Linked DNA regions of Bombyx mori. The protein of the gene in region 1 interacts with the protein of each later gene in a pairwise test. Links are inferred from orthologs where the notes say so. Each region holds a gene or a part of one and is shown in the gene's direction. Other genes may lie near its edges.

Evidence for each region.
Region 2: the proteins of vacuolar protein sorting-associated protein 52 homolog (region 1) and angio-associated migratory cell protein interact in a two-hybrid assay, tested with the Homo sapiens proteins (2 studies listed by BioGRID and IntAct). The link is inferred for Bombyx mori from reciprocal best matches to the Homo sapiens genes VPS52 and AAMP.

The regions. Positions count from the first base shown.
Region 1 is NC_085110.1:11,268,974-11,273,374, forward strand, and holds the start of vacuolar protein sorting-associated protein 52 homolog, read left to right. Parts: upstream 1-1,531; 5' UTR 1,532-1,708; coding exon 1,709-1,954; intron 1,955-2,524; coding exon 2,525-2,670; intron 2,671-2,748; coding exon 2,749-3,316; intron 3,317-3,512; coding exon 3,513-3,668; intron 3,669-3,763; coding exon 3,764-3,882; intron 3,883-4,401. UniProt on the Homo sapiens protein: Acts as a component of the GARP complex that is involved in retrograde transport from early and late endosomes to the trans-Golgi network (TGN).
Region 2 is NC_085110.1:12,202,710-12,206,984, reverse strand, and holds the start of angio-associated migratory cell protein, read left to right. Parts: upstream 1-1,427; 5' UTR 1,428-2,065; coding exon 2,066-2,671; intron 2,672-2,936; coding exon 2,937-3,111; intron 3,112-4,275. UniProt on the Homo sapiens protein: Plays a role in angiogenesis and cell migration. In smooth muscle cell migration, may act through the RhoA pathway.

The DNA.
Region 1 (4,401 bases):
CATCAGTTAGACAGTTAGGAAAATAAACTGCTACTAACTGAAACTACTACTACTAGAAATGTCAAATTAGGAAGTACGTCACGGTATTTTTTACTTGATGCCGAGATCCTGTCCGTTTGATAGTCGTAAATTGCAGTTAAACTTTCTTAAATATTAATATAAAACATAATTTATCAGTTAAATAGATCAACGAGAATATGTACTAAATATGTTCATATGTATGTGTACATAGGCATTCATTTATTCTATCTACAAGTCCTTTAATACAATTACAATATGCATAATTAATACAATGGCATTTCTTGACATTTCAATATAATTTTACTCTATTCTTAGTTGTGCTTTTGTTAAAGTTATACATTTTCTTTGTAAATATTTCTTGAGAATAATATCATTGATGCTTATGCATCCATTAAATTTGTGTGTTTATTTTTCATCCCTTGAATTTAATAAAAAACGTACTTTTCTAGAATATTTGAAGTCATCGTAGCTTAAAGGATAAGACTTCCGGTGCATTCGTGTTGAGCGATGCACCGATGGTCGAATCCCGCAGGCGGGTACCAATTTTTCTAATAAAATACGTACTTAACAAATGTTCACGATTGATTTCCATGGTGAAGGAAAAACATCGTGTAATAAAAATCAAACCCGCAAAATTATAATTTGCATAGTTATTGGTGGTAGGACCCCTTGTGAGTCCGCAATAGTAGGTTAGTACCACCACCCTGCCTATTTCTGCCGTGAAGCAGTAATGCGTTTCGAATTGATGGGTGGGACAGCCGTTGTAATTTTACTGAAACCTTAGAACTCATATCTCAAGGTGGATGGTGTCATTTACGGTGTAGATGTCTATGGGCTCCGGTAACCATTTATCACCAGGTGGGCTGTGAGCTTGTCCACCCATATAAATAATAAAAAAAAATCGAGTGTTTGTAGGTTTTGACAGTAAGGCCACAATCCTCACCCACACTTACTTAATTACTTTTTAAATTGACACATACCAAAACCATGTAACAAACTTTTAAAACTTAATTTCCCCACGCTACATAGAAAACCCACTACTGCCTTCAACACCCACAACCCACAACTCCAGGAGCCAACCAGTACTTGGAAGACTTCATACAGTTTCTTAGGGAAATAAAATCATATATTTTCTTGTGGGACGCCTATACATATTTTATATACATAATGAAGCAAAATGAGATGAAGTTAATTAATTTGAGACTGTAATCAATTCGGATGAAATTAAATGAGATGAGATGAGATAGAATAAAGTCTCAATAAAATGGTAGTTATTTAATATGAGATCAGAAACTGGAACAACCCGAGAAGCCACATTCAACACAAAACGAGGTTAATAAACTACCTTTATTACACGTTTAAATCTGAAGAAACCCTAAAATTAGGAAACAAAACCAACAAAACAAAAATTCATACAATTTCGCTCTTCGTGTTCGCGCCAAAGAGTCTGAGATTTTAATATTTTTTTTATTTGGCTGTATGGGCTTTGAACTCTTTGTCCATCCAGAAAGAAAAACGAAAAAAACGTCATAAGTAGTGTCACTGTTTCAGTGCTTTAAATTGTTTAAAACAACAAAAAAAATTAAATACAAAACCTAAAAATTCAAGTAAAATGTATGTGAATAGTTGAAAACGCACACAGTCAAGTATAAATGTTGATTTCCCGTCATTCCACTAGAGTTTAATCATGTCTGATAACAACAACATGAACTTAGACAAAAATCTTGAGGATTTCGAAATCCAAGAGGTTCTCCGTAATGGTACAGATTTGCGAGAATATGCTCTTCAAATCGACAAAGGAATCATCGAAGCTGAAAAAGCATCTGTTGCGGATTATTTGAGAGAAAGTGAGAATATTGGCTCCCTTCATAATCAAATCGAAGAATGTGACAATATTTTAGGGAAAATGGAGAGTATGCTACTGGTGTTTCAGGTAAATTTATCTCTATTTACCGCATAAAACAGATTTACAACACTATTATAGTTTTCAGCCCTTTGGTACCCACTGCTGGGCATAGGCCTCTCCTTTCACACAATAAAGATAGAAAAATACATCTCCTTGGAAAATAAAATAAATACAAAGCATGTTAGGGAATGCTAGGAAATAAAATATTTATAATAATGTGACTATAGAATACCTATTACCTTTATAGAAAAAAGTCTCAAATAAATGTTAATTTTTTAGTTTTTAGTGCTTGTTTAAAAGGCTTAGGAGTTCGACAGACAGAGAAACTATTATCAATAAGATCTAGTGAACTGAAATACCTCTGACAGTTAACTGAGAACTTTAATTTTAATTTCTAATTGAGTTGAGAGAGTTTGAGTTAATCTTGATACTATATCATACCTAAAGATTTCAGTACTGTGGAATTCCCTGGAATGTAAACATGAACTACAAACAGGTCCTACTTGCCAATAAACTGAAAATTTTGATGTTGAGAATAGCTCTATTGAAAAATGTTGTGCCTATTGTATTCTTTAATGATAACTTTTCTTGTAACAGAATGATTTAGGAAGCATCAGCAATGAAATTATAAGTTTACAAAAGCGTTCAGTGAATATGTCAGTACAGTTATCTAATAGACAAGTGCTTAAGGGACCTTTATCTGCATTCATAGAAGACATGGCAGTGTCGGAAACTGTTATATTGTAAGTGATTGCCTGGATTCATTTATCCACTTTTATGGATTTTAATTGTACTCTATTATATTTACTATTACATTCCAGTGGTATCAACAATGTTCCAGTTACCGACAAAGAATTCATGGTGCAGTTGGCAATTTTAAACCAAAAATTAAATTTTGTAAAGGAACAAGATTTCAAAGAAACTAAAGCTTGTCATGATGTCAAAGACGTTTTGGAAAAATTAAAGATAAAAGCAGTGTCAAAGATAAGAACATATATTTTAGAACAAATATATAAATTCAGAAAACCAATGGCAAATTATCAAATACCACAAAATGCCATGCTGAAATACAAATTTTTCTTTGAATTTGTATTGACCAATGAACGAAATGTGGCTCAAGAAATTTGCAATGAATATATTGATACATTGAGCAAAGTTTATTATTCATACTTCAAGTCATATGCATCAAGACTAGATAAATTGAAATATGAAGAAGCACCCAACAAAGATGACTTAATGGGAATTGAGGATGGATCTAAAGGAGGATTCTTCCAGAAATCTAATTTAAAAAATAAAAGTACAATATTCACTATAGGGAATAGAGGTGATGTTCTGGCCCAACAACTAGAAGCACCCATTATTGTACCACATGTTCAGCAAAAAACAAAGGTACAAAATACAATATTACAAATTTCATTTGGTTTCTCGTTTATAGAATCAAGTGATTAAAATCTTTTCATTCCTAAATAAAATATGAAATTAACAACTTTAAAATATTTATTGCTTGCTGTATGCATATCATTTTTTTAATGACACTATATTCATGTTTTGATCCACTTCTTGATAATAAATAAATTATTTTCAGTATTCATATGAAGCCTTATTTAGAAGTCTTCAATATGCCTTGGTAGACAATGGTTGCAGAGAATATCTGTTTACCACTGAATTCTTCCATGTCAAAGGAAACCATGCACAAGAGCTCTTTGATAGAATCCTCGGTAAAACATTGTCCGTGCTTGTAGTGAGTAAACCATTAAAATTATGTACATAAATATTTATTTCTGGAAATTGAATAGTCTGAATTGAATTGAATCATCTTAATTTTTTATTTTACAGAAAAATGTGGAAAACTATGTAGTTGAATGTTATGATTGTTTGGCACTATTTCTTTGTATCCAATTAATAAACAGATATAAGTTAATGTGCCATAAAAGAGCAGTTGCGGCTCTGGACAGGTGAGAATTCATATTAAGAAATGTATCGACACTGACAAACCTTCATTTAGAAGGGTAAGAGCTAATATGGCAAAGAGTAAATAAATATAGGGTTAATCAGCCCTGAGGCGACACTTGTATGTCATGTTCGACCCACCATAAACCCACTCAGTCCTCAAGTCTCATCTTGACTTTAGTGTTTGGTTGAAACTTACTTCTGCTTAACATAACAGTTCTATGTTTGAGTTTGTAGTTTTCCTTATCTTAAACCCAATGCTGATGAGGCCCGTCTCTCCGAATTACATAAGCCATAGAATACTATATACATTGTGAATACCAGACAAGAACTGGCTTTTGATATTGAATGCATATCAATATACTAGTTTTTGCCCGCGACTCCGTCCGCGTGGAATAGTTACTTTGGAATAACGCTAAATTTTACTCCCCACTTCATTTATGTAGAAAGTAACAATATTTTGGAATTGTAGAATGTTAAGAAGCTATTGAAACCCTTATTTTGAAACATTTTTTATTGGTGCT
Region 2 (4,275 bases), about 930 kb from region 1:
GAAATGGCAAGATGAGGTCCGCTGCAATTTGTACAACAAATTTCAGTGGGCTTGTCACATTCCTTATATAAGTGCTCACCTCCACAAATAGAACATTTTTGTTTACTGTTACATATTTTAGCTGAGTGGTTAAACTTGAAACATTTGAAACATTGTTGCAATGGTGGTATATATTCAAAAACTCTATAAGAGAATAAGTCGTATTGAACATTGTCTGGTAGAATATTAGATAAGAAAGTAATGCTTACAGTTTGTAAAGGAACATGCTCATGTCCTACTTTCTTTGTAAATCTTCTGATAGCAATAATTTCATATATTGACGATAGCCTACTGTACAACTCTTTATTAGAAATGTTAGCTGGAACGAATCTTATTATTCCAGTCTTTTCAATCTGCGCAGCAGGAATGAAAGCTCTCATGTCATATTTTTCTAAGAAAGACGAATTCTTAATAAAGTTATTTGCTGTGTTATATTGTTTAAAAATAACTGCTATTTTATTGGCATTCACTCTTTGAATTGCCGTCACACCTTTAATTTCCGTTGCAAAAACGTGGTTTAAGTAAATAGGGCTCTTGTTGCCCAGTCTGTCCTTATTAGTTGCTTCGACAAATACTTTAAACTCGGTATTAGCAGAGTTCTCTGGATAAAGTCTTTTATAGTTTGGTTTAAAAAAAGGCAAGTAAGAGTCATTACGCTCACCGCCTCCGCCAACGCCAAAGTCCACCTTGGGGTCACCACCACGATCCTCAACGCGAGGACGTTTATTTGAGGTGGGCGGGTTATCCCCGCCCCCCTCGTTACCCTCCATTTCTAAGGGTCACCACTAATAAATTCAACTATTTACACAGTATTTTTATGAAAAAATAACAAAATTGAAATAAAAATGAAAAAAATTTCAAATTGTACGCGCGCTCTTTTTGGAGTTCCCGCCAAAAGTCCATCTCGCGGTATTTTTTTTTTTAAGAGATTTTATGACCTGGTAACTAAGACCTTTAAGTCATGTCTTATTTTAATTTATATTCTTAATTTTATGAAAAATGATAATATGGAGTGAAATGAAATGAAGATGATTGATTTGAGACATTAATCAACTGGGATGAAATTTAATGAGATGATATGGGATGAAATATAATCGCAGTAAAATGGTGGTCATTTACTGAGATTTTTTCAGTGGACTTTTTGGAAGAACCCGAGAAGCTACGTCCAGCAGCTTTGTTTCATTTTCCCAAATTTGTGCACTTTCACAGATATTAAACAGTTAATAAACCACCATTATTACACATTTAAACCCGAAGAAACACTAAATAGACAAAATAAAACAAATCACACAACTGCACTCCTCGCGTTCCCGCCAAAAAGTCCTCCCATCTCGCGGTAAAAAGGTCACGTGTCACAGACTATCTTCTTTTTCCCACCTCTCGTGCGTTCCGGCTTACGCATCATAAAAATGTGCGTTCTTAAATCTTAAACGCCACAAGTTTTTCCAAGTCAATTCAATTCGTTAGACTTTTTAGTTAGACCGTTTAGTTTAATTATATCATTTCATCTCGTCAAAAACCTATAGTGTTATCTTATTTCACCCTATATATTTTATACCCTAATCAATTATTTTAAGTTTTTTGATTCATTTCACTTTTCACACAACTAACATAACCTCTGGCTTTGTAATAAAAGAGTGACTGGTCTCTACACGCCTTGGCCGCCCAATGGACGAATTAAACAAAAAAAATCAGAATGTCATTGACAACAACAAAAAAAACGTGTTGATTGGACTCAATTTACTCATTTGTTAAATTATTTTCAATTTTAAACAATCTAAAACTTGCTATTTTAACCATAACATTATAAAATTAATAGTTTATGCGATGTATGATAATTCTGAAAGAAACTTAATTATATGAAGAATATTTTAATTAGTTTTGTAAATAAGGGTTAGTCTTAAACTTTTACAATTTTATAACTTTTTTGAAAAGTATCTAAAAATAATTGGCATAGCACACTTAATATTTGAGAATAATTGGTGAATAAGATAGCTTAATAAGAACAGTTATTCAGTCAGTCAATATGCACGGGAATGAGCAAAACACACCGCCGTCGTCATTAAACGGAGACGAAATTACAAGTATGGAGGATGAGGGCGTAATTTACCTGGACGAAATGGATGAACTGGGTGATGAAGAAATGGAAGAGTTTCTTAGTCAAGAAGAAGAAGACATAGATATAGAACCCCCTGAAGATCATTCTGCACTAGTGTTCAGCAAACACGTGGGTTCTGTATTTTGTTGTGATCTCCACCCCAATGGTAAATTAGCAGTTACGGGTGGTGAAGACGATAAGGCTTATGTATGGTCAGTGGAATCTGGTCAAGTTGTACATGAATGTGTGAATCACAAGGACTCTGTTATATTTGTTGGATTCAGTTTTGATGGGTCTTACTTAGCTACAGTGGATATGTCTGGTGTAATTAAAGTATGGAAATACAGTGATGGAACAGATCCATGGCCACTTGCATTTGAATATATTGCAGATGACTTATCATTTGGCATGTGGCACTTTGGTGCTAAAGTTTTGATATGTGGGGCTGTTTCGGGAGATATCTACATTTTTAAAATACCTTCCGGCGAAACTAAAGTGCTTCAGGGGCATAATGTCAAAGTTGAATGTGCAAAGGTAAGACAGATTATTCTATATGACTAAATAAACACATTTAAAAACAATTTTTATTTAATTTTTGTTGTATTAAGTTTGCTGTTAGTAAAATGAAAATATTTGATTCATCACCTTGGTCACAATAGTAAGTTTGAGGGTTTCTCTAAGAGTCTAAGGCCAAGTTGTTTATGAGCTAACCCAATTATTGTCTCATCTTTTTTAATACTTAATATATACTTTTTTATCGTAATTGGTAATTAAGTTGCATAATTTTCCACACTTTCAGCTATTCACCGATGGTGTCCGAATGGCTGCTGGCTATGAAGATGGTACAGTCAAAATATGGGATATTAAAACATCAGCTGTGACACACCAATTACCAGCTAATGTCCATCAAATTAGAGTGACGGCAATTGACATTCACCCAGACAATAGTCTTATGGCTTCAATCTCTACAGATGGTTAGAATTATTGTTTTCTACTTCTCCATGAAAATAGAATAGAAAAAGTAAACAGAAAAGTAAATAAATTTCTGTTGTTGGCCAAGAAACCTACGATAATGAAAATAAAACATAAAATGTTATTTTTAATACACTTTTACATGGTATAAATATTTTATGAACCGATATGAGTAGAAGGGTTATTTTGATAATATCCTGAAAAGCACCCTCGCTTTTTTTTCTTTTTTTTTATAAAATCATTTTTTCTTACACTATTTTTAATTCAAATTTATTAAAATTTATAATCTATTTTTTAGTTGGATTTTCTATCAAAGCATATTTTTTTGAACTATTATTTATTTGCATACTTGCTTTGGAAGAAACCAAAAGTATATATAGTTTACTAGATAGTTTTTACTTTTATTAAATATGCTTTTTTTTATTGCTTAGATGGGTGGACGAGCTCACAGCCCACCTGATGTTAAGTGGTTACTGGAGCCCATAGACATTTACAACGTAAATGCGCCACCCACCTTGAGATATAAGCTCTAAGGTCTCAGTATAGTTACAATGGCTGCCCCACCCTTTAAACCGAAACACATTACTGCTTCACTGCAGAAATAGGCAGGGCGGTGGTACCGTGCAGACTCACAAGAGGTCCTACCACCAGTAATAAAGTTTCAGTCAATCATAATCTAATCATACTTATGGGTGTTTTGTTTTTGTACTTGATTAGGCATTCGGTATCCATAGAACATGAGAAGATCCAAGCCTGAGCTTGTTCAGTGTGAATTATTTTTGTTACTAGTATTTGGCATGATGTTTCTTAAAGCAAGGTATTGGATCAGAAGAAAACTCTGGAGCATGTTTCAAATCTATTATTCTATGATGTTTATGTGTGGAAAAATACATCCAGCTCGTGTATCGTTTACTAGCTATCTATATTCTATCTTAAGACTTGAGATCAAATTTTTCAAATCATTTTATTAATTGGTGAATGAGATAACTACTTACCTAGTGCTAAGTGGTCACTAGAGCTCATAGACATCACAATGTGAATGGCATCACCCGCCTTATATGCCTTACCCGCCTGTAATGTTTCTCTCAACTATTACTGTATACTGGAACTCATGATAGAAGTATGCTTGATCTTACTACTTAACTATTCAGATTTACAATACATCC